Linked DNA regions of Macaca mulatta. The protein of the gene in region 1 binds, or shares a complex with, the protein of each later gene. Links are inferred from orthologs where the notes say so. Each region holds a gene or a part of one and is shown in the gene's direction. Other genes may lie near its edges.

Region 1 (10,076 bases):
TAGGGGAGGTGAGAGGATAAGAAGCTGGTTATGTGAGGGTGATGGCAGTCTCAGCTCTTAAACCAAAAAATAAAGAAAGCTGCAAATGAGCACTGGATATTTAGATAAAAGATCCTGGGGCCGCTGGAAGAGGAACACTTCAGCATCACTATCCTGAGTCTTAGGAGCAGCACATATGGTTTTGGCTATGTCTGTGCGGGCTTATGTCTGAAGGAAATAGTTGCCAAGATAACTGGACTTTTGCCTTTCACTAACCATTATAGCCTAAGACAAAGATTAAATTGGGTGGCCTTATGAAGTACTTTTAAAAGTTTCTTAAATTTGCTTCATTGAAAAACTTCCACTTATTGCCCAAAATAATATTATAACGTGGAATTCAAAATTTAAATAAAAATTACCCAGAATCCTACTACCATAATGATTCAACTGCTTTGATTTTCCTTGCTGCCTTCCATTCTTTTGTATATAAACACTAATATATACACACTCATACAAACACACACACATATACTTTTCACATAATTGTAACCATGGTGTGTATGCGATTTTCCTTCCATTGCCTTTGAAGTTTAAGTTCAGTTTTTGACTCATGTTCATCAGCAAATCAGCAAAGGGATTGAATTCTTCACTTCATTCCTGAATTTTAATGCTTGTTCCATTTTGCCATTTTTTAATTAACTAAGTTAGGTTATATTTAGAGTGTGGTCAAGAAAGTACAGCACTATTCAACATACACATATTATTTTTAAGAGAATACATTAGATCTTGCATCGCTAGAGAAAGTATTACAATTTTAAGTTCTTCTACCAGTTGTGAAGATTTAATAATAATTTGCCTGTTTTCTTTATTTAGAAAGATTTATTGAAAGCTGCTATGTGCTAAGTTATTTGTGACGTTGTTTGCGAAACTTGTACTACTCTTTCCACAGCCCTTCCCATTGCTGCCTGCTCATTCTTAGGGCTCGACAGGAGTCACCTCCTCATTCCTGCCTTCTCTGGTATCATTACCCTATATTCCCACCTACTGCACCTTGAAATTATTTTCTGCAGTCCATTTGTAATTACACGTTTGTTTAGTTACTTATTGAATGCCTCCTCTAATCTTCTCTAAGCTCTCCTAGAAAAGGAACTGAATCTATTTTGTTAACCAAGATAAAGTCACATAACATTTTTTAAAAAGCTGGTGGATGGGAGCCAAAGTGTGGAGGAGGGTGTTTGTCCTCAGAGAAGAGGATGGTGGCTGGGGACGCCCCCTGAATTCCTCCCATGTCTTATTTACTGCTGTATTCTCAGCACCTAGCACAGCGTACACGCTCACTATATATTTGTTGAATAAATAAGTATTAACATGAATTGACTTTTCATTTCCTGCAAATCTTAAAATCACCCAAGGGAAGAGACAGTAAATGTCTGTCTATGCTGCAGGCATTGGAGGGATTTGGGTGAGCGTGGTGGTTACCCACAAACTTGAGAGGTGTGAGTTGTGTTGGCTCCTGCCTCCCATGCCTGCCTCCCTTCTGACAGTGTGTAGGTTGACAGAAGGAAGCATGGCAATGGCTTTTGACACCCAGGTTGCCATTTGACAGTGTCCACTGGATAGAATTCATAGGACTCATGAAAGAATATATGTTTTATTTGGTTGAGGGCCAGAATTTTCATTTGCTTACATCAATCTGAGTCTGGAAATTCTGAAATTTGCTCACTGGTGATATCTAGATTAAGGATGATGCCCCTATTCATTTTTGCTTGAGAACTCCTTTTTAAGCATAGCGGTGAAGAAATCCGATTTCTGGCATTTCCTTATACATTGAAATTTTATCTGACTTAAGAATCACTATCAAAAGTTCTATATTCGTGCAAGAAACATGCTGACTTAGTATCTAGGCAAACTGGATAAGTGTGACATTGGTATAAAATATTGAAGATGTACATATTATATAAATATGTAAGTATATAAATAAATGCATTATTAAATACATCAATATATGTTGAAAAGCTATATATTATAAAAAATGCTTCCTCAACCAAATTGGAATTTTTCTTCCATATACTATTTGGTAATGTTCTTTTTCACTTAACATTATATGTTGTTAAGAATTTTCACTCTGGCTTGACTTTAAAGCCAAATATAACAAATTTTGAGTTACTTTTATGTATATTTTATGCTTTTTCCCCTTCTTAGTATGGCTATAGAAGAACATCTATGCAACATTATGACCAAATCTGTTATTCGGCCAAACAACTTTGGAAAAATATCGAATTTGTGACTATTTACATATGTAATATAATGGTGAAATGGCCTACAACTGAGTTCTGTGTTTTTCCTCGTACGTGAAAGTAAAAGCAGTCCAATTATCATCAGTATTTACTTTACCTGAGTCTAGGGCCCACTTACTTGTAGCTTTTTTTTTTTTTTTTTTTTTTTTAAATTCTTGAGACAGAGTCTTGCTGTGTTGCCCAAGCTGGAGTGCAGTGGCACACGATCTTGACTCACTGTAACCTCTGCCTCCCGGATTCAAGGGATTCTCCTGCCTTAGCCTCCTGAGTTGCTGAGATTACAGGCACGCGCCACCACGCCCGGCTAATTTTTTTGTATTTTTACTAGAGATGGGGTTTCACCATGTTGGCCAGGCTAGTCTCGAACTCCTGACCCGTGATCCATCCGCCTCAGCCTCCCAAAGTGCTGGGATTACAGGCATGAGCCACCACGCCTGGCCACTTGTAGCTTTTCATCAGAGATGCCAGAAGTGATTTCTTTCAGTCTCCAGCTTGAGATGGGGTATTAACTCCCAGGACTCATAGTAATAAGTAGGTGTCATTTAAATAAAAGAATCATTTATGCATAGCAACCTTGGCCTCTTTCTCTCCCATGAGTGATGCATTGGTGTTTACAGAATATAAAGATGAAAATCTTCGTGAGATGAAGGGAGTCAAACTAGGTTAGTTCTTTAATGTTTTCATCAAGGAACAAGTTTATGGAGCAAGAGAGATAGCAACTGTTTATCCAACTTGCATCAGCTTACCAACCACACACGTCCAACAACAAAAACCCCCAAACTTGCCCTTCAGAGAAAAATCTTTTAACCCACTCTACTCTTGCACTGACATAGAAATGTGGTTAAGAAGTGAATGGTGGAAGAGACCAGAATATACTAACATTCTTAAATGTCAGTTGGCTAGTATCCAACTGATAGTAACTTTAGAGAAGGTAACTTTCCTTATTCTTAAGGTACTATAAGCTACACTCAAATGTGTTTGAATGCCTTCTAACATTTTGGAACAGCCTAAGAGTCACTCATGGGACCTTCTTAGAACATTTTTTATGAAAGCTGTTGGGTTTGTCAAGGTTTACTTTAACTCAAAATACAATAATTTCATGAGATCACTTGTTAATAGCTAGTTGGTATTAGCAGTTGCACAGATAAACTCCTATTTTATCACTCCTTGACTATGGTTAGGATGTATGATTTTCAGGTAGCATTTCCTTAATTATCCTGTGGATTGCTTGTTGCAATTTGGCCCAAGGTACATGACTTTTTTTCTATTGGAAAATTAACTCTAATATTCATATATAATGTTTTATGGTGTACTTTTAATGTGTGTTTTAAAAATGATAATGTATATCTCTTCTTCCCCCCAATTTAACAGATTTGTATTTTATAAACGTTTATACATATTTCCTTGGGGAAGTGACCTGCAGATAAGAAACAGATTTCTATCTATGAGAAAAAAATTATTTAAGCTTATGCGTTGTTTTCAGAAGCATTCTAAAATTGCCTTTTTAATTTGTGAGAAACTTTCTCAAATATGACCTTTCTAGTGCTGAATGAAAAGTCATTACCTGAAAATGACTCCCCAGAGAACTGGAGATTATTTAAATTGTTGTGGGCCCCAACATCATAAAAGTGAGATCTTTGTCTTGGAAAATAAACAGACTAAATCTTTTTAAAAGAACTTTTATTTTAGGTTTAGGGGTACATGTGCAGGTTTGTCATGTAGGTAAACTGCCTGTTGCGAGGGCTTGGTGTACAGATTATTTAGTTACCCAGGTAACAAGCATAGTACCTGATACCTAGTTTTTTTCCTGCTCCTTTTCCTCCTCATACCCTCCACCCTCAAGTGGGCCCTGGTGTCTGTTGTTCCTATGTGACCATGCGTTCTCATCATTTAGCTTCTACTTATAAGTGAGAATACGCAGTATTTGGTTTTCTGATAAACAAACTAAATCACAAACAAATTAAATGTATTGAGATGTCACTATGAGTCCCTCCCACTTTCAGGGTTCTGTATCATAGGATTCATGCACTCAACTTCACACATAAAGCAAGGACTTAAGGAGAGCTTCTCCAGTACCACTTTTGCACCATCGCTTTCTATTTAGAGATGACGGAGGCAGTATTTTAACAAGATTAAAGGAAAGTTTTAATAGCTTCATTTAAAAAGTTCTTGTTTTTCCACAATATCACAACTGTTTTCATTTTTCAGCTACCTGTTTGTTCTTTGTCCGTTTGCCTAGTCGTTTTTATCATTGTAATCACGACATCCTGTGACTGTGCTCATGAGGTCTGTTTATTTCCACTTTACGTAAACTTTTCAAAATGACAGTTATTTCGTACTCGCTCTCGCCCGAACACAGACGGGAGGACACTCGAGGAGCAATCGACCCAAAGGAAAAGCACGATTCAGGCCCCGCCTGCCTCGGCTCCACCTCCCACGGGCCCCACTCCCAGGGCCTCCGCCGCGGGACCCCGCCTTCCAGGCCCCGCCTCCCGGGGCCCCGCCCTGCTTTTCTCATCGCCCCGCCCCGGCCCGTCGCCATGTTGTTCCCTCCGCGCTGGACGGGAGCAGCTGGACCTGGAACCTGGCTGCGGTACCTTCGCTGCCTCCTGCTGTGCAGGTCCCCGACCCTCTCTCTGTCCTCATTGCACCCAGACGGGCCGGCTCAGAGCTCCCGGCTCGTCTTCCGTGTGGCCGCGAGGTGAGCGGGACTCAGGACTCCTTCGGGGCCGGGCGGAGCGCGCGGGTGTCGGGGTCTGAGGGGGCGGCTAGGGCCTCTGGCCGCTGGGGTGGGGTGCGGTGCGCGCGGGGCTAGCGCGGGTCACAAGGCCGCCCCGGGAGCGAGGACGGCTGGTTGTCTCCCTGCCTGCTGTCTGACGCAGGAGGAAAGACGGGTCCCCACACCTTTGGGGAGAGGGACGCACGGAAACACACACACACACACACACACACACACACACACACACAGGGACGCATACAAACACTGGAGAGAGGGAGATACAAAAGCCCGGACACCCGTGCACATACACACGGAGAAATACACCCAGTCACCTGGGAACACACGTACACGCCAGCCTTTCCCCAAGCACTCCGGGACGCACATCCACAGTCCCCAAACCAAATCCTACACCCGAGTGATTAATGTAGGGAAAACAAAGGCGCTCCCACGACTTGATTTTGGCGACCTCTGAAGTTCCACCTAAGCAGAACGTGTTTGCTCGATGTCTTATGACCACTTGGGTGAGGAATTCGGAAAGTAAAGCCAATCTTAGAGGCTGCAGGAGGTTTGGGGGCAGTATCTGATTCAGACGCTGGCTAACGTTTCACGATCGCGTTCCCTTTTTTCTTCCAACTCGGTAAGTAAAAAGGCAAGATGAGAAATTTACGTGCTGAACTTAATAAATAGTTGGTGGATGTATTGCCTTTTTTTTTTTTTTTTGTAAGGGATGACACATCTCGTGACTACAGTTCTTTTGAGGAATAACTTTTCTGCTAGTTTCCAAATCGGCACGTGACCAAAGTCTTTTCATAGGATTTTAGCGTCCTGATAAAAATCAATGGGCAGAATTTGATTGCTTTTTTAAAAATGTGTTTGTCCTTTGGTCTCTGACACCATTGTAATGGAAAATCCCTACATTGCCTGTACTCTCAGAAGCTGTCCAGTGGAGCAAAACTAGAGATAAAGAAACCTGGAACGATTCAGTTAGGAACTTTTAAGAAGCCAGCCTTTAGTTTTTCCTTTAGAAGATTATGCAGTTATCATGATTGCTTCTCTAGAACTTCAGTGTGTTATTTGGATTCCTAAATCTAAGACAATGCTGTGGAAGTCTGGTGCTTTTAGTATTTTTGTGTCTGCTGTAGTAAATTCCTCGTTTATACTACAAAGTTTCTCTTTTGGAGACTTTTGGGATCTGGGCATATTTTTCGTTTATTATTTGGAATGTTAGAGTAGATAGGCAAAAACTAAGTAGAACATCTATTGGCTTTGACTCCAAGCCGGGTTCTTAAGAGATAAGGGGAATAATACCTTAGTTCTATCACTTCTTTTCCAACCTCTCTCATCTCTTTTTGTTTCTATCTCAACCATTTCTTCTGTCTAGACTACAGTACTCTGGAGGCCTAAAGATAAGATTTTTGAGTTCTCGAAATTTTTTTTTTTTTTTTAGCCTCCCCTCATTTCTGGCGCGGTGAATATTCTGTGCGTGTAAATCCTGTACGTACATCATTTCATTTAATTTTCATAGCATTTCTTCAGTAAGAGCTCCATACAGTTGAGGAATTTGGGGGGGGGGCATAGGAAGGTTCAGTCTGTTTTCCAAGATGACCCAGGTTGTGATGGGGTGGAGCGGGGATTCAAAGCAGATCTGGGTAATTTTAGAGTAATAGTTCTCAAGTGGAAGAGAGGACAATTTTGTCCTCCTAGGAGATATTTGGCAATGTCTGCAGGCATTTTTGATTCACACCTGGGGGCAAGGGAGGTGCTGCTGACATCTAGTGGGTAGAGGCCAGGGATGCTGCTAAACATTCTTTTTTATTTTTATTTTTGTTATTTAATTTTTAATTTTTGCTGCTAAACATTCTATAACCTACAGGACAGCCCCCCACAACAAAGAGCTGTCTAGCCCAAAATGTCAGTAGTGCCACAGTTGAGAAACCTTGCTTTTCAGCAGTCCGAGTAATCTCAGAGCTTACATTTCAACTGCTTTTGTAGTTTTTCAAATGCAATGTCATATTCCTATTTGGGATACTTCATCATTTTAACAGTGAGCAGGGGAAAATTCTCTCTACTGAGAAGCATATTTACTTGAAAGATTAAAGAGTGAGTGGCTGGGCACGATGGCTCACGCCTGTAATCCCAGCACTTTGGGAGGCCGAGGTGGGTGGATCACGAGGTCAGGAGTTCGAGACCAGCCTGGCCAACATGGTGAAACCCCGTTTCTACTAAAAATACAAAAATTAGCCAGGCGTGGTGGCGGATGCCTGTAATGCCACCTACTCAGGAGGCTGAATTCAGGAGAATCACTTGAACCCGGGAGGCAGAGATTGCAGTGAGCCGAGGTCACGCCACTGCACTCCAGCCTGGGCGACAGAGTGAGACTCCATCTCAAAAAATAAATAAATAAATAAAGGGGGCAAATAATTTCTGGTAGCAGAATCTGTTTTTTGTTTTAAGGCAAAAATGACAAAAAGAACTTTAGAGCTATTCAGAGCCATTAAAGTGGACTTAGACAGTTTAGTTTCTGCATTATTTCAGTTGTCTGAGCAGCCTGTGGGGCACTGATACAAAGGTGCTGATGAGAAGGGCAGTGGGGAGTCCTAACCTTCCTGAAACTTACAGTCCAATCACAGTCATAAGATTAGGTTCTGACATCATCCTAGAACAGAATTTATTGCCTGGGCTACTCAAGGACAGGGGCCAGGTGTTCATTTAAAAAAAAAAAAACAAAACAGGCTGAGTGTGGTGGCTCATGCCTGTAGTCTCAGTGCTTTGGGAGACCCACACAGGAGGATCACTTGAGCCCAGAAGTTTGAGACCAGCCTGGGCAACATAGTGAGACACCCGTCTCTACAAAAACTAAACTTAAAAAAAAATTAGCCTACCTCAGTGTGGTGGTGCATGTCCCAGCTACTCTGGAGGCTGAGGCAGAAGGACGACTTGAGCCCTGGAGTTCAAGGCTACAGTGAGTCATGATCGCACCACTGCATTCCAGCCTGGGCAATAGAGTGAGACCTTGTCGCTAAAAAAAAAAAATAATAATTAAAGAAAACAACTCCACACTTGGCACAGAAGTACCTGTGTCACGGTGTTTACTGTGGGCAGACTTAGATGAAATGGGGAAAACTTGATGTGTTTGTTACAGTTTTGTACGGTTAACCACGTGTGAATATTTACAGGAATCCAATTGAGAAGCCATTCTTGTTGAGCATAAAATTCATCCTTAAATTTCACCTCACCAGAGAAATAGTTATGCCTGCATTTTGTCACTGGAATCAAGAAATAAATGATGAATTTTTAAATGACTTTGCCATAACTTTCTGGTGTTTTCCAGTCTTTTTTTTCATTTTCATGCCTATTTAAGAGCAGACCTTTCAAAATATGTACTGCTTCATTCTGGTGGCAGAATTAGGTGAACTTTGGGAGGGAATGGTTGACTGGAGCAGTCAAAAAGGATCGCATCTCTTTTTAGGCATCACTGTGAGTGTTATTCATGCAATCAACATGGCGTCTTTTTGTCGGTAGCTTGGTTTTTGACTCATGCCAATACACAGCACGTTCTTTGCTGATGAATAGATTTCTCTGCCTCTTCAGGAGTTGTCTGCTATGGGGTAGGGAGGATGTTGAGTTACACACCTCAAAATGATTGCTAGTGCATACACACGGAATCTGACAAAAGTGACATGTTTTATTCTGGGAAGGGTCGAGAGAAATTGGTGCCAGAGTTGTCTTGTTTGATCATTAATTGGCTTACTCCTCCGCCCAACTTAGGTCACCACATTTCCTTCTGGGTAAAATGAGATGGCTGTGCTTTATAATCTCTAGGAGATTATATGACACAAAGTAGAGGCAGCAAATTATTAGCTTCCAAGGAGTTCTGCCCAGGCAATGTGTTAGTTAAGCAGCAGGAGGAAGTAAGCCAAATGGAAGTGTGTGTGTGTTTGGGCAACGCATCTAACTTGAAAGCTGTATAGATAATAAACTCATCAGTCAAAACCAAGCGTAAGAGAATAGGATTTGTGACTAAGTAGGCCATCAACAGAGAACATTTATTAAGGACTTTTTTTATAGAGGAGTGAGGGTGAACTCAAAAAATGTTTCAGGGAGTTTGGCGGAAAGCTATGATGCAATTGGAAGGCGAGGATGCCTGAGGGAGGAGACCTGGAGCCACCTAGGTGTGTAGGCAGAGGGGAGGGAGGTCGGAGGCGGTCCCAGGCCATGTTGCCAGAGAGCCCAGGAGTGCCAGGGCTAGTTAGATAACTTGGAGGAGAAATCTCTCTTTCTCAACATGACTCTTGATACTGAGCATGTTGTGAACCTGTGTGCTCTGGGTATTTCCACATTCTGGATTTTTCCAATCCTTTTGTTAATTTTTGACCGTGATGAGTTCAGGCGTTGGAACACTGTTGTTTATTATGAGTACAGTGAGGATGAATAGATGTAAATGAATGTAAGTAAGGTAACAGCTGGATCTGCCTGAGGTGGAGAGAGACTGGGTGTGAAAAAAAACGGAGAAGTGAAACAGGCTGTCCCGGCTTCACATTCTGGCTGCATGGAAGCCAGCTCATTGCATTCTCCAGGAGTTCTCTGGGAGTCTGTGGACACAGACTCCACTTTTGTCTTAGGCCTGACTTGTACAAACGTATTCTGTTGTTTGACAGGGGATGGAGAAACACTATAGAACAACTGGACATATTCATTTCATTGCCACATTCTTTATTCAAGTGTGACAGAGAGCAAAGCAGTATAAAGGAGTTGAACTGACTACTGTAGTTTAATTTCAAGTTCGTGTGAATTGGATTAGATTTTTGGGTACAGAAGCTAAGGTAATTTCCGAAAGGTTAGTGCGAATAAGACTGTCTGTGTTCTCAGCGTTGGAAAAACCTGGGGGAAAAAAAGCCTTACAGACTTCTGTTTCTAGAACTTGCTGTGCAGAACTCTAACAGATAGGAGTGTTTATGCAGCTAGGTGACTGCCCTGGTCTGTGCAGTTTCACACCTGTGTATTTGATCAGATGTATATACCTGGAAATACATACATAATGTGGTTGGAAGTCAGATCAGAACTGCCTGAGGACTACCCAT
Region 2 (9,432 bases), on another chromosome or scaffold:
CTGTCCGGAGACAGGGGACGTTGAAGGCTTCCATACAAAAATAGGTCGGGTAGATTTGTAAAGGATTCCTGAGGAGCGTAGGGTGCTAGGGGGCATCTTTTTCTTTTGGTGGTTAATGTCAGGAAGGTCAGCTTGGTTCTTCTTGACTTTGTCCTGTAGTCCCCAGTCAGAGGTGGATGGTGGGTGAGATGAGAGAGACTCCGGGGAGGTAAAAACTGCTCCTGACCTTTGCCCAGGCCTTTCCCAGAGCCTCAGAGCAGGATCCCTGGGTCTGGCTTGGCACCCCTGGGGGATGTGTTTGCAGGAAGGGGCTGTCACTGTGCCTCATAGTGACTTCCCAATGGGTCTTCTCTGGCTGCTGGTGGCGGCAGTGGACAGCGGCGGGACAGTGGTATTGGTCAGCCAGGACGGGATCCAGAGGCCGCCCTTCCGCTTCCCCAAGGGTGGGCACCTCCTGCAGTTCCTCTCGTGCCTGGAGAATGGGCTGCTCCCGCATGGGCAGTTGGACCCGCCACTGTGGTCCCAGCGGGGTAAGGTGAGTGATCATGGGGACCCGGGGAGGTTGGGGTGGAGGCTGGTCACAGAGAGTGGTTGTTTTTGCCTGTGTGCCCTTATGTGGCTGTGTGGCCTCATGCGCTCCCCACTGATACCCTCAGACTAAGCAAGTTGTGGGGACAGGTGTGTCCCAAGGATCTTGCTTTGGGACATGTTCTTGCAGGGCAAAGTGTTTCCTAAACTACGCAAGCGAAGCCCTCAGGGTTCTGCCGAGTCCACATCTTCAGACAAAGACGATGACGAGGCCACGGATTACGTGTTCAGGATCATCTACCCTGGCATGCAGTCGGAATTCGGTGAGCTGCTCTGTCCCGGGCCCTGGGGAGTCACCTGCTAACTGATGCTGAAAATGATTCCAGGTGTTTAAAACTAGAAGATGACAGGTCTGGATTCTGGGGCTAACAGGAAGATCTGGAAACAAAGTTGGTTTCTTGGTAGCCTCAGTTCCCCCCCAAATAAGAACAATAACCACCCTCTACTTGTCTAATAAAGACACTAGGAGAGGTGGCCTGGGGTAGTGGCAATGGCATAGGTTCTGGAATCCTGGCTGAACTTGGGCAAGTCATCTCAGCCCTCTGTGCCTCAGTTTCCTCATCTGTAAAATGGGTATGTTCATAGCACCAGTTACATAAGTCATTCTGGGGATCAAACGAGGTAAGGCGGCCGGGCATGGTGGCTCACACCCATAATCCTGGCACTTTGGGAGGCCGAAATTTGGGAGGGAGAACTTTGGATTGCCCGAGCCCAGGAGTTTAAGACCAGCCTGGGCAACATGGCGAAACCCTGTCTCTACAAAAAATACAAAAATTAGCCAGGTGTGGTGGCATGCATCTGTGGTCCCAGCTATTTGGGAGGCTGAGGTGGGAGGATCACCTGAGCCTGGGGAGGTCGAGGCTGCAATAAGCCGTGATTGTGTCATTGCACTCCAGCCTGGACAACAAAGTGAGGCCCTGTCTCAAAATAAATGCAAATTAAAATATTTTTAAAATGAGATCAGGCATTTCACACACATACAAAATACTCAAATGTTGTTGTTGTTAATATTCTACTTCTCGTTATTATAAAGAGTCAATGAGATGATGAAATATTCATCGTAGAGCTCATGGAGTAAGGCCTTGCACACAGTAGGCCCTCAGTAAGTTGTAGTCAAACTTGACACCAATAGAGGCGAAGCACATGAGATGATGGTGAATGGCAAGCAGGTTGCACGGTGCCTTCGTGACACAGATGCGTAGCAAATGGAAGTTCTTACTGCTAAGAGCGTCATCATTGCGGGGCTATTGTGAGGATTCAGTGAATTAAGATTTGAAAAGTACTTAGAAGAGGGCCTGGCATTTATGAAGCATGGTATGGGTGTCTGTTAAACAAATCAGTATTGAGTGGTAGGCTCTTTCTGTTCACTTCATTTTATTTAACATGCAGCGGCCCTGATGTTCCCATCCGAGGATAATGGCTCTGAGCCTCCCTTTGCTGAAGCAGCCACGTGCTGGGCAGTGAGAGGCTCTTTTGAGAGCAGATGTCCTCCTGGACAAGGCTGGAATCCCTTAAGCACTACAGAGTGTCCTGAAGTATACATGACTATGTCTGTTCCTGCCCTGGATCAGGGCCTCCCAGCCACTCCATGGAACCAGGTGCTCAAAATCCTGGCCAGACACCAAGGCTCTTGTGGGCCCCAAGGCTGAAAAGGCTCCATGTATGAGGGTGAAATCCCTTGGGATGCTGAGCCAGCTACTGTCCTGTTGCCCGAGAACTTGGGCTTCCCACCCCTGTGAAGACCAACATTCATTAAGAGTTCCACTTGAGAGCCTGTTATCAGAGAGGGCTAGATCCCCTGTAGTTGCCTTCCCAGGAAACTCCACAGCTTCTCATCCAACAGGCAATGTGCACACTCCCGCTGGGAGCTAGGCAGAGTGCTGGGTGTTTAGTTTATTTGGAGATTCTCCATGTCATCCTCCTGTGGCTTGATGAAGGCCAGTGGAACAGACACTGGCTGTGCTCACCCACAACCTCAGCATTTCTCATTCTGTGCATGCTGTTCAGCTACCAACTGCAGCTCTCTGTCTCAGTATCTCTTTGCCTGAGGGTTTTCTCTGGCCGCAAGAGTCCCTTCTGGCCAGGGATGGGGCATATTTGGAAGCATCAGGGAACCAGTGCCTCCCTGGAGCAGCCCTCAGCTCATGGCTGATAGGAGTTAGTGTATCAATGTCCCAGCTCCCTCTCCCTTTGTGAGGCAAACTCTGACATACATGTTCTGCACAGACTCCTAGAGCTTCCATGGGAGATTAAGCATAGTTACCTCTATTGGTAACTTGCTTGGCGACTAACCCTTTACTCCCTCCCCTTTTCTTGTTTTGTCTCAGTTTGCCCCTCCCTTACTGATGTGCCTTTGGAACTTGCACTTGGATCCTCATCTGCCCTTGAGGAAACACCCAACTAATTCAGTTTATCTAGAATTGGACATCTGAACCTTAGTGTTACTGTCATTTGGGATGGAATAATTCTTTGTTGTAGGAGGTGGTCCTGTGCATTGTGGGATGTTGAGCACCCGCTAGATGCCAAGTAGCAAACTTACTTTGCTCTAAGTTGTGACAACCAGGTATGTCTCTAGGCATGGTCAGGTGTCCTCTGAAGGGTGGCAAAATTGCCCCTGGTTGAGAGCCATTGGTTTAGAGAAAAGAATGCATCACTGTATTGAGCTCTGCCACTGCGGTGTGGTTAAGTGACCTGTCCTCCGCAGACCTCACTTCCTTCTCTGTAGAATGGGGTAACAGCACTCCCCACCAGCATCATATTCTGAGGAATCAGCAAGATCATTCCTAAAACACCTGGTGACCTGACATGGGGCCTGGCGCTTGGCAGATGCTTAGTAAGCAATAGCAGATATCGTGTCTTGAGTGCCACTGTGTGCCAGGCCCACTTCTGTCCATTGTCCCGCTGTCCCTATCTTAATTCATTCCGTCCTCACCATAGCCCTCCCAGGTTGTCATCACCATCCCCCATTTTGCAAGGAGGAAACTGATTCACAGAAGGGTTAAGCGACCAGTCCAGGATCACATAACTAATTCTTGTCATGGCTGGGATTTGAACGTAGGAGGTCTCGCTCCAGAGCCTGTGCCTGTAACCACCACTCCATGCGCATCGTTTTGACTGGCAGGGAGCAGGCATTGTGCTTTCACTGCCTTCATTCTCAAGGTCAGCTTCAACCCACATGGAAATGGCAACCGCATCCTTGGTTGATTTTCTGGGGCTTGAGCCTCACAGGCTTAACAAAAACAGTCATCTTACGGTTTCCATCTGTGACAGGTTTCTATCTGTGAGAGGTATGAAGTTCTTTCTGAAAGAGGGCCTAAATCAGAAGTCAACAAACCCCTTTTCATGGGCCAAATTCGGCCCATTCACCTGTTTTTGTAAATAAAGATTATATATAATCTCGCTCTGTTGCCCAGGCTGGAGTACAGTGGTGCAATCGTGGCTCACTGCAGCCTCGACCTCCTGGGCTCAGTTGATCCTCCCACCTCAGCCTCCTGGGTAGCTGGAATCACAGGCACAAGCCACCATACCTGCCTACTTTTTTTTTTGATTTTTTGTAGAGATGGGGTTTTGCCATGTTGCCCAGGCTGGGCTTAGAGCTTCTGGGCTCAAGCAACTCATCCGCCTCGGGCTCCCAAAGTCCTGGGATTGCAGGAGTGAGCCACCTCCCAGCCCCTTGATTGTGTTTCTATTGGATAGTGCTGGTCTAGCGTGGGATTTCTCAGCCTCAGCACTGTTGACATTTAGGGCTGAATAATTCCTTGTGTGGGGGTTGCCTTGTGTACGATATTGAGCAGCATCCCTGACCTCCAGCTACTAGACAACAGTAGCACCTAATTAATCCCCAAGGCGTGAAAACCCAAAGTGTCTCCAAACATCGACAGGATTGCCCAGGTTGAGAACAGGTGGTGTGGAGAGAAGTGCCTATGAGAAACCAGCTGAGGTAGAAAGAGTAGGATGACAGTCAGGTCCTCAGGCCAGGCACAGTGGCTCACGCCTGTAATCCCAGCACTTTGGGAGGCTGAGGTGGGAGGATGGCTTGAGCCCAGGAATTTGAGACCAGCCTGGGCAACATGGCGAAACTCCATCTCTACAAAAAATTTTAAAAACATGAGCTGGCCATGCTGGCACGTGCCTGTAGTCCCAGCTACTCAGGAGACTGAAGATGGAGGGTCACTTAAGCCTGGGAGATCAGGGCTGCAGTGAGCCACGTCTGTGCCACTGTACATCAGCCTGGATGACAAAACAAGACCCTGCCTCAAAAAAAAAAAAAAAAAAAAAAAAAGAAAGTCAAATCCCCTGAGTTGGGATCTTGGCTCCTCTGCTTATTAGTTGGGTGGTCTTGGGCGTGTTGCTTAAACTCTCCATGCCTCAGTTTTCCAGTCTGTAAAAGGGGATAATGATAGTACTGTACTCAGTAGGGACAGCTGTTGTTAGGGGAAAGAGGAGAGGGACTTCGGTCAAAAAAGACTAGATATGTCCTTATCTTAATTCATTCCGTCCTCACCATAGCCCTCGCAGGTTGTCATCACCATCCCCCATTTTGCAAGGAGGGATGACTTGCAAATGGCCTACTGCCTGGCAGGGCTTTGGGTGATTAAGTTGTGCCATCATTCTGAGCCTCAGTTTCTTCTTCTGCAAAGTGGAAGAGGAAGGATGCATCCCTCACAGGGTCGTGAAGGACAATAACTGGTTTCCTTAGGTTTGCTCAGGTCGCAAACTGCCTAGCCTGACACTCAGCACATAGTAGGCACGTTATAAAAATCGGCATTCTTTCTTCTAATTGAACACAGTATATGTGGGATCTGTGTGGAGCCAGGGAGGGGGAGGTTTGGAGCCCCCAGAAACGGACTCTTCCAGCTATCTCAGTGTCCTGAGATGGCTCCGAACCCCCACCTCACTGGTTCTTTCTGTTTTGTATCTCAAGTTGCCCCCGACCTCTTGGGCAGCACTTCCTCCATCTCTGTGGGCCCTGCCTGGATGATGGTTCCTGCAGGCCAGTCCATGCTGGTGGTGGCCAGAGGGAGTCAGTGGGAGCGAGCCAGATGGGACACTACTCTCCCCACGCCGAGCCTGAAGGAGCAGCCCCCCAGTAATGTCTGGGATCTCCCCTTCCCTGGGGGCTGGGTGCCAGCCACCTCTGCCATGTTGTCATTTGAGTCCTGGTCCCAAGGGAGGTGGAGGCAGGAAGGGAGATGGAGACAGAGAGATTGATGCCCTCCTGCTGTCTAGCCTCCACCCTATGGAAGGCAGCTTGCAGTGTGGTAGGTTCAGTAGCAAAGGGATCAATTGGTGTTACCTGTGTGGATGCGAGTGTGAGAGGCTGAGACGGAGGAAGGCACGGTTACCATGCTTGGGCTAAACTGGTCAGGGCACCCCTGAGATTGGCTAAGAACTGGGGCTATTTTTCTAGAACATTTTACAGGGGCTTACTGGTCTTCCTTGGCTAGCTCATGGGTGAGTTACATGGGGAAGAATAGTGTAACAAGCCACATTTGGTGGCTGCGAGAACTACATCATATAGCAGCTTCCTCTTCTGTCAGTGGGTAGGGGCTGACCTTGTCAGCTACGGAGCGCTGACGGCCAGAGGACCAGTTCCACAACTCCCCCTTACCTTGGGGCCCAAGGGAAGAGTCAGGGTATTACCAGCTGTCCTGTGGGGACCATGACATATGGGTGTGCCACTCTCTTCACTTCCTACAACAGGGATTACAAAACTAAGACTCAGCCTGGCGCGGTGGCTCAAGCCTGTAATCCCAGCACTTTGGGAGGCCGAGACGGGCGGATCACGAGGTCAGGAGATGGAGACCATCCTGGCTAACCCGGTGAAACCCCGTCTCTACTAAAAAATACAAAAAAAAAAAAAAAAAAAACTAGCCAGGCGAGGTGGCGGCGCCTGTAGTCCCAGCTACTCTGGAGGCTGAGGCAGGAGAATGGCGTAAACCCAGGAGGCGGAGCTTGCAGTGAGCTGAGACCTGGCCACCGCACTCTAGCCTGGATGACAGAGCGAGACTTCATCTCAAAAAAAAAAAAAAAAAAAAAAAGAAAAAGAAAAGAAAAAGAAAACTAAGACTCGTGAGCTAAATTCAGCCCCATTCTATACCAGCCTATGAGCTAAGAATGGTTTTTCAATTTTTAAATGATCCAAAAAAGCCAAAAGGAGAGTAATATTTTATGACATGAAAATGATATGACATTCACATTTCACTATTTATAAATAAAGTTTTATTTATTTTATTAGAATGTGCGCATGCTTCCTTTTTAACATTTTGTTTATGGCTACTTTTGTACTACAACAACAGAGTCAAGTGCTTATGACAGAGACCAAATGGCTTGCAAACGCTAAAATATTTACTAGCTGTCCCTTTGCAGGAAAAGTTTATGGGTCCCTGTTTTAAAGAAAATAAAGCTTTTGCGCCTGTCTAGGACTACCAAGAGACCAGGAAATTGACTATAGAATTTGTAATGCATGTGTCCCCAGTATGTTTGTTATGTGGCTTTGTAGACACTGCAGTTTTTACGAAGCTGAGAAAGAAAAATAAAGGAAGCTATGAGTGCTGTATCCTAAGAATGGCTGGTCAGGAATCACCAGTGTCCACAAGTTGGGAAATCAGAGTCTGTTGAATGTACTTGCTGTATCGAAATTGCTTTAGAAATACAGATTTGAGAGCTCTGTCTCCAGGATTTAGTTGAGTAGGCCAGAGTGTGAGGCAGTCATATTGCTTTTTAACAAGCCTCCCACATGATTTTAGGGAGTCGCTAATATGTTTGAGACCCACTTGGTGGAGCAGCTTTAGCCTCAGAACCATGGACAGCGCAGGTGCCCTCTTCATCAGCAGGGGCTTCACTGGGTCTCTGGCACTTGGGTGCCCTGCCTCATCTGTTAAGTCAGGCTCCCTTCCATCTCACCCGTGAGGCCTGTCTCTTCTCCAGAATCATCCAGCAGCCTCCCCTTCCCTCCTGCAGCATCCTGTTAGTATGACTAAGTGACAACATGGTGAGGTTTGGCTTCCTGCTCTGGGATTGGGCCTCTTTCCTTGGCTCTTGGCTCTCTGTGTCCTCTTCTTCTCTCTTTGGCTGTCATCAGCTCTGCCCATCTCTCAGGGCCACCAGATTTTGGTGGTGGCTTTCATTGGATCAGGTAGACTCAAGGATGTTCGGGGCTGCTGTTTCCTACTGTCACCTTCAGGGTCTTTTCCTATCTCTGTGCTGGCTGGGGCGGGTGAACTGCTTGCTCTGGGGTGAGATTTCTGTGACCCACATAGGCTTAACCAGGGTGATTCTTCTGCCCCTCCTTCTATCCACCACAGTGCCCCAGGATCTGATGGATGTCTCCGTGAGCAACCTCCCATCCCTATGGCAGCCCAGTCCCCGGAAGTCCTCCTGTTCCTCCTGTTCACAGAGTGGCTCGGCTGATGGTGGCTCAACCAATGGCTGCAACCACGAGAGGTATGAGGAGCCTGAGCTGCACATGGAGGGAGCTGAAGGATGTACCAGAAATCTGTAGATGCCCATATCTTACCCTGCACTGAATTCAGAATGAAATAACCTGTGGACTCAGGCAGATATAGGTTAAATCCTGGCCATGAAATCCTAGCTGTTAGAGGGTCACATGTATTAGTCAGGATAAACAAGGTTATGGTGCAGTAACAAACAGTCCTAAAATCTCAGTGGCTTTTTTATAACAAAAGTTTATTTCTCGTGCATGCTGTGTTTCTATCATGGGTCATCTGGTGCTATTTTTTCCACACTAAAGGGCCTGGGCAATGGAGCAGCTACCATCTTGAATGTTGCCAGTCACAGTGACAGGGAAAGGTAACTGCAGAGGTTGGAACCCACAATAAAAAGGCTCTGCCCAAAAGCAGCACATGTCATATCCACTCACAGCCCATTGGCCCCATCCACAAGGGGACAGCAAGTGCAGTCCTACCATACACTTAGAAGGCAGAATAATCCCAGAACTCTAATTTAATGACAACCACATCTCAGTTTGCGCCTCCACACAGTGGGAATTCCAGTTCTTACTTTATATGGCTGTGGTAAGGACCAGCTCAGGTAATGGTTTAAAGTGGCCAGAATGTGGCACCTGCACATGGTACTGTTCAGTAAATGATACTTCCTGTTTTGTTGTATAAAGTTAAATCTCAAGCTCATCTCCTGTTTGCCCATAGATCTTTCGTCTCTTTGAAACTATTCAGCCAGTTCATGAGACTGGTTTTGTTTTTACCTGGTCCGACCTGGCCTGGCCTGAGAGAATGGAACCCTTTTGTCCTTGTGGGGCTTCTGTCCCAGTGGATGGTCCAGTCATCAGCCATAGGATGTAAGGGGTGGGAGTCGGCATCAAATTTTTGAAGTCATCCAACCCCCTGGTTCCTCAGGGTGTGGTCCGTGAACCAACATCAGCACCTGGGCAAATTCTGAGTCTCTCATCCCAAACTTCCTGAATCAGAACCTGTATTTAACACGGTTTCAAGACCATGTGTATACTTTAAAGTTTGAGAAGTGCTAATATTACTGGAGATTCTTTTTTTTTTTTTTTTTTTGAGACGGAGTCTCTCTTGCCCAGGCTGGAGTGCAATGGGGTGATCTCAGCTCACTGCAACCTTCACCTCCCATGTTTAAGCAATTCTCCTGACTGAGCCTCCCGAGTAGCTGGGACTACAGGCACGCACCACCATTCCTGGCTAATTTTTGTGTTTTTAGTGGAGATGGGGTTTCACTATGTTGTCCAGGCTGGTCTCGAACTTCTTTTTTTTTTTTTTTTTTTTTTTTGAGGCGGAGTCTCGCTCTGTTGCCCAGGCTGGAGTGCAGTGGCCGGATCTCAGCTCACTGCAAGCTCCGCCTCCC
Region 3 (9,915 bases), on another chromosome or scaffold:
TCACGCCTGTAATCCCAGCACTTTGGGAGGCTGAGGCGGCTGGAGCACTTGAGGTCAGGAGTTCGAAACCAGCCTGGCCAACATGGTGAAACACCGTCTCTACTAAAATAGAAAAATTAGCTGGGCATGGTGGTGAACACCTGTAATCCCAGCTACTTGAGAGGCTGAGGCGGGAGAATCTTCTTGAACCCAGGAGGCGGAGGTTGCAGTGAGCCTAGATTGCAGCACTGCACTCCAGCCTGGGCAACAGAGTGAGACTCTGTTTCAAAATAAAATAAAATAAAATTCCAAGGGGCAAGGCATCAGAGGTAGTAAAGTGTGAAGCAGGATGTAAATGATTCATTTATGTTTGGGAAGTTTCCTGAAAGACATTTGGTACTTTCCTTAAGCCTGTTGATAGGTGGTGGGGTTCCCCTTTTTGCCTCTAAGCAGTTTTTAGGAATTAGCAAGGAGTCCAAAGTAGAATTTGAGAAAGGCTATTCTAAGGACAGCAGGAAGGCAGGAGTGGGGTGGGAGACCCTGTAATGGCTAAGATCTCTTTGCCTCCAGCATAGTGCTACAGAAGGAGGGTTTAGGAGTCAGAGCCAGCTCTGAAGCCTGATTTGTTAATTACTAGTTGTAAGACCTCAGGCAACTCAATTAACTTCCTGCACCTTTATTTCCTCATCTTTAACATGGATACAATAAAATGCTTTCCTATGGTGCATCATCTGTGGTTCAATTGCATGGTTGCCTCTCTATAGTGGCCTTCCCTGACCATAGTATCTGAAGTGACCCCTCCCAGCCCTTTTCTATCAAACGAGCTTGCCTTAGTCATAGCACTTATCAAGATCTGAAATGTTACTTTTTCTGCTTATGGATTTAGTGTGTTTCTCTGTTAACAATATAAGCCCTTTGAGGCCAGGTACCTTGTCTGACGTGTTCACTGTGCTGTAAGGGTGCATTGTACAGAAGAATGCTCATAATGCCAGGTGCTGTGGTTCAGCCTATAATCCCAGCACTTTGGGAGGGAGACTGAGGCAGGAGGATCCCTTGAGCCCAGGAGTTCGAGACCAGTCTGGGCAACATAGTGAGATCCACGTCCCTACAAAAAAAAAAAAAAACCAAAAACGTAAAACTTAGCTGGGTGTGGTGGTGCACACCTGTGGTCCCAGCTACTTGGGAGGTCCAGGATGCAGTGAGCAGATTGTGCCACTGCACTCCAGCCTATGTCACAGGGTGAGACTGTCTCAAAAAAAAAAAAAAAAAGCTGGATAATAATATACATATTTTTAGTTTGTATGAGCACACAGTAGGTGTTTATATTTATGGAGTACATGAGATATTTTGATACAGGCATACAATGCATCATAATCACATCAGGGTAAATGGGTGTCCATCACCTCAAGCATTTATTCTTTCTTTGTGTTACAAGCACTCCACTTATACTCCTTTAGTTATTTAAAAATGTACAATACATTGTTGTGGACTGTAGCCCTCTTGTGCTTCCATATACTACATCTTATTCATTCTAACTCTATTTTTGTACCCACTAACCAGAATGCTCCATGTTTGTTAATGAACATGTTATGACAAGATGTTTTGGAAGAAAAGTTAAAAAAAAATTCCAGCCAAGCATGGTGGCGCACGCCTGCAATCCCAGCACTTTGGGAGGCTGAGGCAGGTGTATCGCCTGAGGTCAGGAGTTCGAGACCAGCCTGGCCAACATAGTGAAACTGTGTCTCTACTAAAAATACAAAAAATTAGCTGGGCGTGGTGGTGGGCGCCTGTAATCCCAGCTACTAGGGAGACTGAGGCAAGAGAATCGTTTGAACCTGGGAGGCGGACATTGCAGTGAGCCGAGATCACGCCATTGCACTCCAGCCTGGGCAACGAGAGGGGAAACTCCGTCTCAAAAAAAAAGAAAAAAAATTCTTTTTAAATTTGTTAGTAAACAATTAGGGTTGCTGTGAGAATTGTGCCTGGCACACACACACATTTAAAAATCATGATCATCAGGCAGGGTGCGGTGGCTCATGCCTGTACCCAGCACTTTGGGAGGCCGAGGTGAGTGGATCACCTGAGGTCAAGGATTTGAGACCAGCCTGGCCAACATGGTGAAACCCCGCCTCTACTGAAAATACAAAAATTAGCCAGGTGTGGTGATGTGGGCCTGTAATCCCAGCTACTCGGGAGGCTGAAGCAGGAGAATTAATTGAACTCAGAAGGCGGAGGTTGCAGTGAGTGGAGATCAGGCCACTGCACTCCAGCCTGGGAGACAGAGGGAGACTTCATCTCAAAATAAATAAATAAATAAAATCAAGATTATTTAACAAATACATATATTGTACTTACTATGTTAAAATTTCTGTTGTAAACGTTTTTACAAATGCTGTTAACTCATTTAGTCCTCTGCATAATGTCGTTTTTTTGTCTTTTGTTTGTTTGTTCTTTAAGACGGAGTCTTGCCCTGTAGCCTAGGCTAGAGTGCAGTGGTGTGATCTCGGCTCACTGCAACCTCCACCTCCCGGGTTCCCGCGATTCTCCTGCCTCAGCCTCCTGAGTAGCTGGGATTACAGGCGCGCGCCACCACATCAAGCTAATTTTTTGTATCTTTAGTAGAGACGGGGTTTCACCATGTCGGCCAGGGTGGTCTTGAACTCCTGCCCTCTTGATCCACCTGCCTTGGCCTCCCAAAGTGCTGGGGTTACAGGCGTGACCACCGCGCCAGACCCATAATGGCGTTTTATAGATGAGGAAACGGAGTCATAGAGGCGAGGAAACGGAATCATAGAGGCCAAACAACTTTCCCAAGATCACACAGTTAGTAAGGGGCAGAGCTAGGACTCAAAGCCAAGCTTATGACCAAATTCTTGTGCACTAAGTTCTCTTGCCTCTGGAGAAGATAATGATGCTGAAGATTCACTTTGGATGTAAAAGAGTAGGAAGGGCACGGGGCACTGCTAGCTCCAGTGGGCCTGAATCTTTGTCTTTCCTTCTGATTTGGGGAAAGTGCAAAAACGGGAAAATGCAATCGGAGTGAAGAAGAGGCCGGCTTATTTTCCTGAAATGCGCGGCCCGCAAGCCCAAACCCATTTCCCGGGTGTCCAGGCAGCGTCCTGCAGCATCTCCAAGACCCGCCCGCCCCAGCCCAGCGCCCGGCAGCCGGCGCCTCCCAAGCCCCCCTCGGGCCAGGAGCCTCCGCCGCGTGGCCCCGCCGCGCCCGGCCTGGGAAAAAAGTTTCCAAACGACGCTGCTCTGCGCTGATTGGCCAAGGCGGACGCGGTACCGTGGAGCAGCAGCCAATGGGCGGCGCCGGCTGCGGGCTCCGGGGCGGGGGCGGGGTCCGGAGGGCCGGGGCCGCACCGCCCCTCACAGCCGCCGCCGCCGCCGCCTTGTCTTCGCCGCGCCTGCACCGGTAAGTGCGGGGCTGCGCCGGGCTGGGGTCGGGGTGGCTGCCCGGGACCTCCTCCGCAACTGGGAAGGCTCCTCTGCCCCGCCCCAGGACCCCGGAACCCCGGGCCACCGCCTGGCAGGTACCCCCACGCCCCTGGCTTGCGGGTCGCTTCCCGGCCGCCTGGATTCCCCCGGTCCCCGGGCTCCAAAATCCCGCCTCCCTGGAGCCTCCGGTCCTAAAAAGTTAGACACTGAGTGCCTTGCCACCCGTGCGTCCCTCGCGCCCGCCCCTCGCCCTTGGCAACTTTGTTTCTCTTTCTGCGCTGGTCTCTCTTCCACCCGGTTGCCCTCTCCTCCTTCCGGGACTTCCTGGGTGGTTCAGCCTTGCCCTTCCCCAAACCCCCGCTGCCAGGCTCCATCCTCTTTCTCCTCTTCCTCCCTCCCCATACTCCTTTCCTAGATGCCCCTCGTCTCTTTTCTCTTTCTCTCTCCTACCCCTCCATCCTGCCACCCCCTTCCCTGCGACCCTAGACACCCCGATTGCAGCGCTACCCCTGCCTTCACACCCACTGTCCCGCCCCTGCAGGCCTCTTTCCAAAAACCTCCCCCCGCTCCCTCCCTCCGGGAACATGTTTGGGGCAGTCTCCTCTCGCTTTGCTCCAGTCTCTGCCGCAGGACGGTTCGGGTTTCTTCTGACAGCACATTGGGGACGGATTGGGTAAAGGACGAAAATGCTTATTCCGCAGCTTGAGTGATGGCTGGGCTCACCTGCCTCTCTGAGGTCCTGGGAAACCCCGCTGTCACCTTGACATCGCTTTTGGGGAGGCGACTTTATCTTTTCTGAGCCATCTCAGGCTTTCTGCCTCCTGAGGGCCTGAGCTTCCTTGATGGCTTTGTCCGTGGTTAGTACCAGGTTATGTCTCTTAATTTCTACTTTGAGCCCGAGGCCCCTTTTAACGTTTTAAAGAAAAGGCCTTTGCAGCACGACCTGGGCAGGTTCATCATTTTTAGTTTTGTTATAGTGTATTCTAGAACAGGATGGTATTTTAGGGCATGGGTCGGGTGTTTTGAAGATTAATTAGATTCCAGCTATTCCCGAAGCCTCTTGTTACCCGACCACCCCAGCCTCCATCACCTCATTGGTATACAACCCCCTCCCTTTTTTTTTTTTTTTTTTTGAGACAGTGTCTCACTCTGTCGCCCAGATTGGAGTGCAGTGGCTTTTTTATCTTGGCTCACTGCAACCTCCGTTTTCCGGGTTCAAGCGATTCTCCTGCCTCAGCCTCTGGAGTAGCTGGGGCTACAGGTGCGTGCCACCACACCCGGCTAATTTTTTCTATTTTTCAGTAGAGATGGGGTTTCACCATGTTAGCCAGGATGGTCTCGATTTCCTGACCTCGTGATCTGCCCGCCTTAGCCTCCCAAAGTGCTGGGATTACAGGCGTGAGCCACCGTTCCCAGCCTACAACCCATTTTGAGCCTTTCTTCTTAGTGTGTGTTTTGTGTAGGATTAAATGCAGATGATCTGTGCCGCTGAAGTCTCAGGGGCCTTTGATTCATATATTTTATCCCATGTTGGATAACAGTTTATTAACTTGACTTATTCTGTTGGATGTTATTTTTGTTTCCAAAGTGTATTCTTTTATTTTATTTATTTATTTATTTAGAGACGGAGTCTTGCTCTGTTGCCCAGGGTGGAGTGCAGTGGCGCGATCTCGGCTCACTGCAACCTCAGCCTCCCGGCAATCTCAGCCTCCCGGGTTCAAGTGATTCTTCTGCCTCACCCTCCTGAATAGCTGGGATTACAGGTGTGTGCCACCATGCCCAGCTAATTTTTAGTAGAGATGGAATTTCACCATTTTGGCCAGGCTGGTCTTGTACTTCTGACCTCATGATCTGCCCGCCTCGGCCTCCCAAAGTGCTGGGATTACAGGCATGAGCCACTGCACCCGACCCTATCATTATTCTTTTTTTTTATGTAGAGGCAGAATCTTGCTTTGTTGCCCAGGCTGGTCTCAAATTCCTGGGCTCAAGCAGTCCTTCTGTCTGGGCCTCCCACAGTGCTGAGATTACTTAGAGGCATGAGCCACTGCACCCAGCCCAAAGTGTGTTCTTTTGCCTTAGAATGTGTGAACTGAGAAATGACACTCCTTTTCCTCACAAGGTAATTTCCTAACATGAGCATGCCTGTGTACAGAAAGTTTGTGCCTGCAGCTAGTACTATGTGTGTACCTCGTGCAATGGATGTAGGTGCTTTCCGTCTGCCCCCTTAAGCAGTGCCCAGCACTTAGTATGTGTTCAAGAAATGTTTGAAAAGGGATGGAGGAGGCAAAACCACGGTAGGAAAAATTCTTTCCCTGGAACTTGGTTCAGTAGAATAAAATTATCCTGGAACAATAGCTATTTTATTTTTTGTCCAAGTTTTTGTTTGTTTGTTTTTTGAGACAGGGTCTCACTCTGTCGCCCAAGCTGGAGCACAGTGATGCAATCACAGCTCACTGCAGTCTCGACCTCTCAGGCTCAAGCAATCCTCTTGCCTGAGCCTCCCAAGTATTTGGGACTAAAGGTACATGCCACCATACCTGGCTAATTTTTAAAATTTTTTGTAGAGATAGGGGTCTCACTATGTTGCCCAGGCTGGTCTCGAACTCCTGGGCTTAAGTGATCCTTCTGCCTCAGCCTCCCAAAGTGCTGGGTTAGGAGAGAGCCACGGCGCCTGGCCTAAGCTTTTTAAAATCTCTAAAGCAATCTGTGCTTACTGTATAGATGTATATGTAGTGTATCTTAAAGCAGTGTGTCAGGTACATATCCACAGGGCTTGCTTTACCCCCATTCTGGTGCATCCTCCAGACCCTTTTCTATTCTGTGTGCAGAGAGAGGGAAGTAAACAAAAATGGGCACCCATTTGTAACATATCGTGAGCTTTCTTCCATATTAGTACATACAGTTCTTAACAACTGCATCGTTTTCCATTCAGTCCTCTGTTGACATTGAGGTTTCCAGTTTTCCACATTAGTGAATGATGGTGTGCATCTTTGAACATGGATCCTTGCCGGCCTAAGTATTTTTGTAGGCTGATCATTATAAACTTGGAAAGCACAAAGACAGAAGCCAGGCTTGCTGACTCTTGACTGATGTTACCCTAGTGATGTCACTTCTGCAAAATGCAAAGCCTGCGTCCTGGCTGTCGGAGCATGTACGGACATTTGGCAGCTTCTTTCCCTTCCCTCCCGCTCTTCTGTTTGTTTTGATTGGGAAGGATACGGAGTGGGGATGGAGAAGGGTGATGAGTTAATTATTGATGGTTTCTTTATGTTTATTGCTCCTGACTAGCTGTGCTGGCTTTCTTCTCTCAGAGGAAAGCTGAAAGAGATTGCTTTGCTTTTTTTCCAGAGTTTTAAAATCAGAGGTGTGTGTCTCAAGTGTATTTTCAGACTTTTTTCTTAGCTTTAATCATGTAAAACATGCAAAAAAAAAAAAAAAAAAGCATGTGGAAACAACTTTTTTTTTTCTTTTTTGAGACGGATTCTCGCTCTGTCACCCAGGCTGGAGTGCCGTGGGGTGATCTTGGCTCACTGCAACCTCCGCCTCCCAGGCTCAAGTGATCCTCTCACCTCAGCCTCCTGAGTAGCTGGGACCACAGGTGTGCATCACTGCACCCGGCTAGTTTTTTGTATTTTTGGTAGAGATGGGGTTTCACCATGTAGCCCAGGCTAGTCTCGAACTCCTGAGCTCAAGTGATCTGCCTACCTCACCCTCCCAAAGTGCTGGGATTACAGGCGTGAGCCACCACACCTGGCCAGAAACAAATTTTTGAAGGAGGCATAGATCTCAGTTGTGCAAAATAGATACTTTTTGTCCCACTGGGTCCTAGTTTGTCATTGTTTCTTGCATGCTCCCATCAGATTTGTCCACAGAGCTGCTGGGGCAGAGCTGATGGTGTGATGGTGTATTAAGAATGCAGGTTAGTGGCACACAGATGAAATAAATGCCTGTGGGATCCTTTTTTTTTTTTTTTTTTTTTTTTTTTTGAGACGGAGTCTCGCTCTGTCACCCAGGCTGGAGTGCAGTGGCCGGATCTCAGCTCACTGCAAGCTCCGCCTCCCGGGTTCACGCCATTCTCCTGCCTCAGCCTCCCGAGTAGCTGGGACTACAGGCGCATGCCACCTCGCCCGGCTAAGTTTTTTTTTTGTATTTTTTAGTAGAGACGGGGTTTCACTGTGTTAGCCAGGATGGTCTCGATCTCCTGACCTCGTGATCCGCCCGTCTCGGCCTCCCAAAGTGCTGGGATTACAGGCTTGAGCCACCGCGCCTGGCGTGGGATCCATTTTTAAGATAGCAGGCGCAAAGTTGCATATACTGAGACCAGGTATTAACACCTGTCTATTACAGTGCCTTTTAAAACACTGTGTGAGGGCCGGGCACGATGGCTCACACCTGTAATCCCAGCACTTTGGGAGGCCTAGGCGGGCAGATCACCTGAGGTCAGGAGTTTGAGACCAGCCTGGCCAACATGGCGAAGCCCCGTCTCTCCTAAAAATACAAAAAATTAGCTAGGTGTCATGACGTGCACCTGTAATCATAGCTACTAGGGAGGCTGAGGTAGGAGAATCGCTTGAACCTGGGAGGCGGAGGTTGCAGTGAGCTGAGATCATACCACTGTACTCCAGCCTGGGCAACACAGTAAGATTCTGACTCAAAAAAAAAAAAAAAAAAGGAAAGACTGTGTGGGCCAAATGAAACAAGTGAATCTAATCTCCAGTCAGTCAGTTTGCAACCCCTGGGAAGCCTTGGACTTGAATGCAAAGACCCCTTGAACTTGGATCTAGTTTGCCTCGGCTGCTCACATGCACATTTAGAGATGACCAAGGCCTACAGTGTTTCTGCTTCCAAGAAACAGAGCGGTTGTCCTGTTTAGCCATCTCTTACAGTTGCACAGCTTAGAGAGGATAATGTTTGCAAACAATTTTTGAAATGTCTAGCACACAGCAAACAGAAGGCAAATTCAGTACTTAATGCTGATAAAATAAGGGAACCCTTGCAAGTCATCTTGCCTGCTTTCTGCCGCAGAGAGTAGTGCAATAGAACTTTCTGACATTTTCATGTTGTTTATTTATTTATTTATTTATTTTTTGAGACAGAGTCTCGCTCTGTTGCCCAGGCTGGAGTGCAGTGGTGCAATCTCCGCTCACTGCAACCTCTGCCTCTGGGTTCAAGCAATTCTCTTGCCTCAACCACCCAAGTAGCTGGGATTATAGGCATGTTCCATCACGCCTGGCTAATTTTTGTGTTTCTAGTAGAGATGGGGTTTCACCATGTTGCCCAGGCTGGTCTCGAACTCCTGGGCTCAGGCGATCCACCCGCTTCGGCCTCCCAAAGTGCTGGGACTACAGGCATGCATCGTGATGCCCGGCTGATTTGTGTATTTTTAGTAGAGACAGGGTTTCACCTTGTGCTGGTTTCAAACTCCTAGATTCAAGCAATCTGCCCACCTCAGTCTCCCAAAGTGCTGGGATTATAGGCGTGAGCCATCGTGCCCTGCCTCTCTCTGACATTTTTAAATGACAAAGGCAAAAATCTTATACTTTTAAGATTGCTGTTTTATGATAAAGTGAAGTGCAGCTGTTACTTCTTCCTTCTTCGCCTCCAGCATCTCTCTTCCTTAAGGATAGCTTTTAAAATGTAAGGGTTTTTGGTTGAAATGCCGTTCCTGTGGTTTTTGTCTCTCGGTTGGGGTGAAAGATTTTGCAGGCAGTGATATAAATCCAGTTCTCTGCTTAGTTTCTCCGCAGTCCTTGAAATCCAAAACCAGATCCCTCCCATCAGCCCGTTGTAATTAGAACCTGTCCCACAATAGCCGCACGTCCTAAAACATCTCAGATTCATTTCTTTCCTGAGGCTTAAGTTTTTAAACCTTACTGGCCAAGATAAGTGTTTTAAGAAGCTCTTTTATTATTGTTATTATTATTACTCTTTTCTTTTTTTGAGATGGAGTCTTGCTCTGTCACCCAGGCTGGAGTGTGATGGCAGGATCTCGGCTCACTGCAACCTCTACCTCCCGGGTTCAAGAGATTCTTCTGTTTCAGCCTCCCGAGTAGCTGGGATTACAGGCATGTGCCACTACACCCAGCTAATTTTTGTATTTTTAGCAGAGAGGGGGTTTCACCATGTTGGCCAGGGTGGTCTTGAACTCCTGACTTCAAATGATCTACCCACCATGGCCTCCCAAAGTACTGGGATTACAGGCATGAGCCACCGCACCCTGCCAGGCTTGGGTGTTCAAGGAAGAGAAAAAGGCGGTGTGGTTGGGACATAAATGAATGAGAGGTGGTAGGGTAGGAAATATGTAGAAAACTATGCAGGGGCCTGATCACATTGAATCTTGCACATCTTTTACCTAACTTCAGGAGGAGTCAGTGCTTTTGTTGTTCCTGGTTCCTCACTTCTTCACTTTATTGTATGCTGACGACCTTCCATGCCGTGGACTGAGACTACCCTCAATAGGATCACCAATGTCTTTTTTTTTTTTTTTTTTAAGGC

Evidence for each region.
Region 2: the proteins of RAB9A (region 1) and SGSM1 are in contact, whole or in part, in a crystal structure (PDB 4QXA), measured with the Mus musculus proteins. The link is inferred for Macaca mulatta from reciprocal best matches to the Homo sapiens genes RAB9A and SGSM1. Residues at the interface, in NP_062747.1 of Mus musculus: Phe37, Thr39, Ile40, Gly41, Val42, Glu43, Phe44, Leu45, Trp61, Arg68, Phe69, Leu72, Phe76; in NP_766306.2 of Mus musculus: Leu256, Leu257, Tyr258, Gly259, Lys260, Asn261, Asn262, Tyr277, Asn294, Met297, Asn298, Gln361.
Region 3: the proteins of RAB9A (region 1) and NDE1 are in contact, whole or in part, in a crystal structure (PDB 7E1T), measured with the Homo sapiens proteins. The link is inferred for Macaca mulatta from reciprocal best matches to the Homo sapiens genes RAB9A and NDE1. Residues at the interface, in NP_001182257.1 of Homo sapiens: Ile40, Val42, Phe44, Asn46, Gln59, Trp61, Arg68, Phe69, Ser71, Leu72, Pro75, Phe76; in NP_001137451.1 of Homo sapiens: Asp99, Gln102, Thr103, Ala105, Ile106, Gln109, Leu110, Tyr113.

Annotation. Positions count from the first base shown.
Region 1 is NC_133426.1:13,329,151-13,339,226, forward strand, and holds the start of RAB9A (ras-related protein Rab-9A), read left to right. Parts: upstream 1-5,254; 5' UTR 5,255-5,632; intron 5,633-10,076. UniProt on the Homo sapiens protein: The small GTPases Rab are key regulators of intracellular membrane trafficking, from the formation of transport vesicles to their fusion with membranes.
Region 2 is NC_133415.1:26,302,727-26,312,158, forward strand, and holds part of SGSM1 (small G protein signaling modulator 1), read left to right. Parts: intron 1-371; coding exon 372-535; intron 536-718; coding exon 719-851; intron 852-5,512; coding exon 5,513-5,677; intron 5,678-7,895; coding exon 7,896-8,034; intron 8,035-9,432. UniProt on the Homo sapiens protein: Interacts with numerous Rab family members, functioning as Rab effector for some, and as GTPase activator for others. Promotes GTP hydrolysis by RAB34 and RAB36.
Region 3 is NC_133425.1:16,422,244-16,432,158, forward strand, and holds the start of NDE1 (nuclear distribution protein nudE homolog 1), read left to right. Parts: upstream 1-3,357; 5' UTR 3,358-3,397; exon of another isoform or gene 3,398-3,515; intron 3,516-4,026; exon of another isoform or gene 4,027-4,277; intron 4,278-8,491; exon of another isoform or gene 8,492-9,887; coding exon of another isoform or gene 9,888-9,915. UniProt on the Homo sapiens protein: Required for centrosome duplication and formation and function of the mitotic spindle. Essential for the development of the cerebral cortex.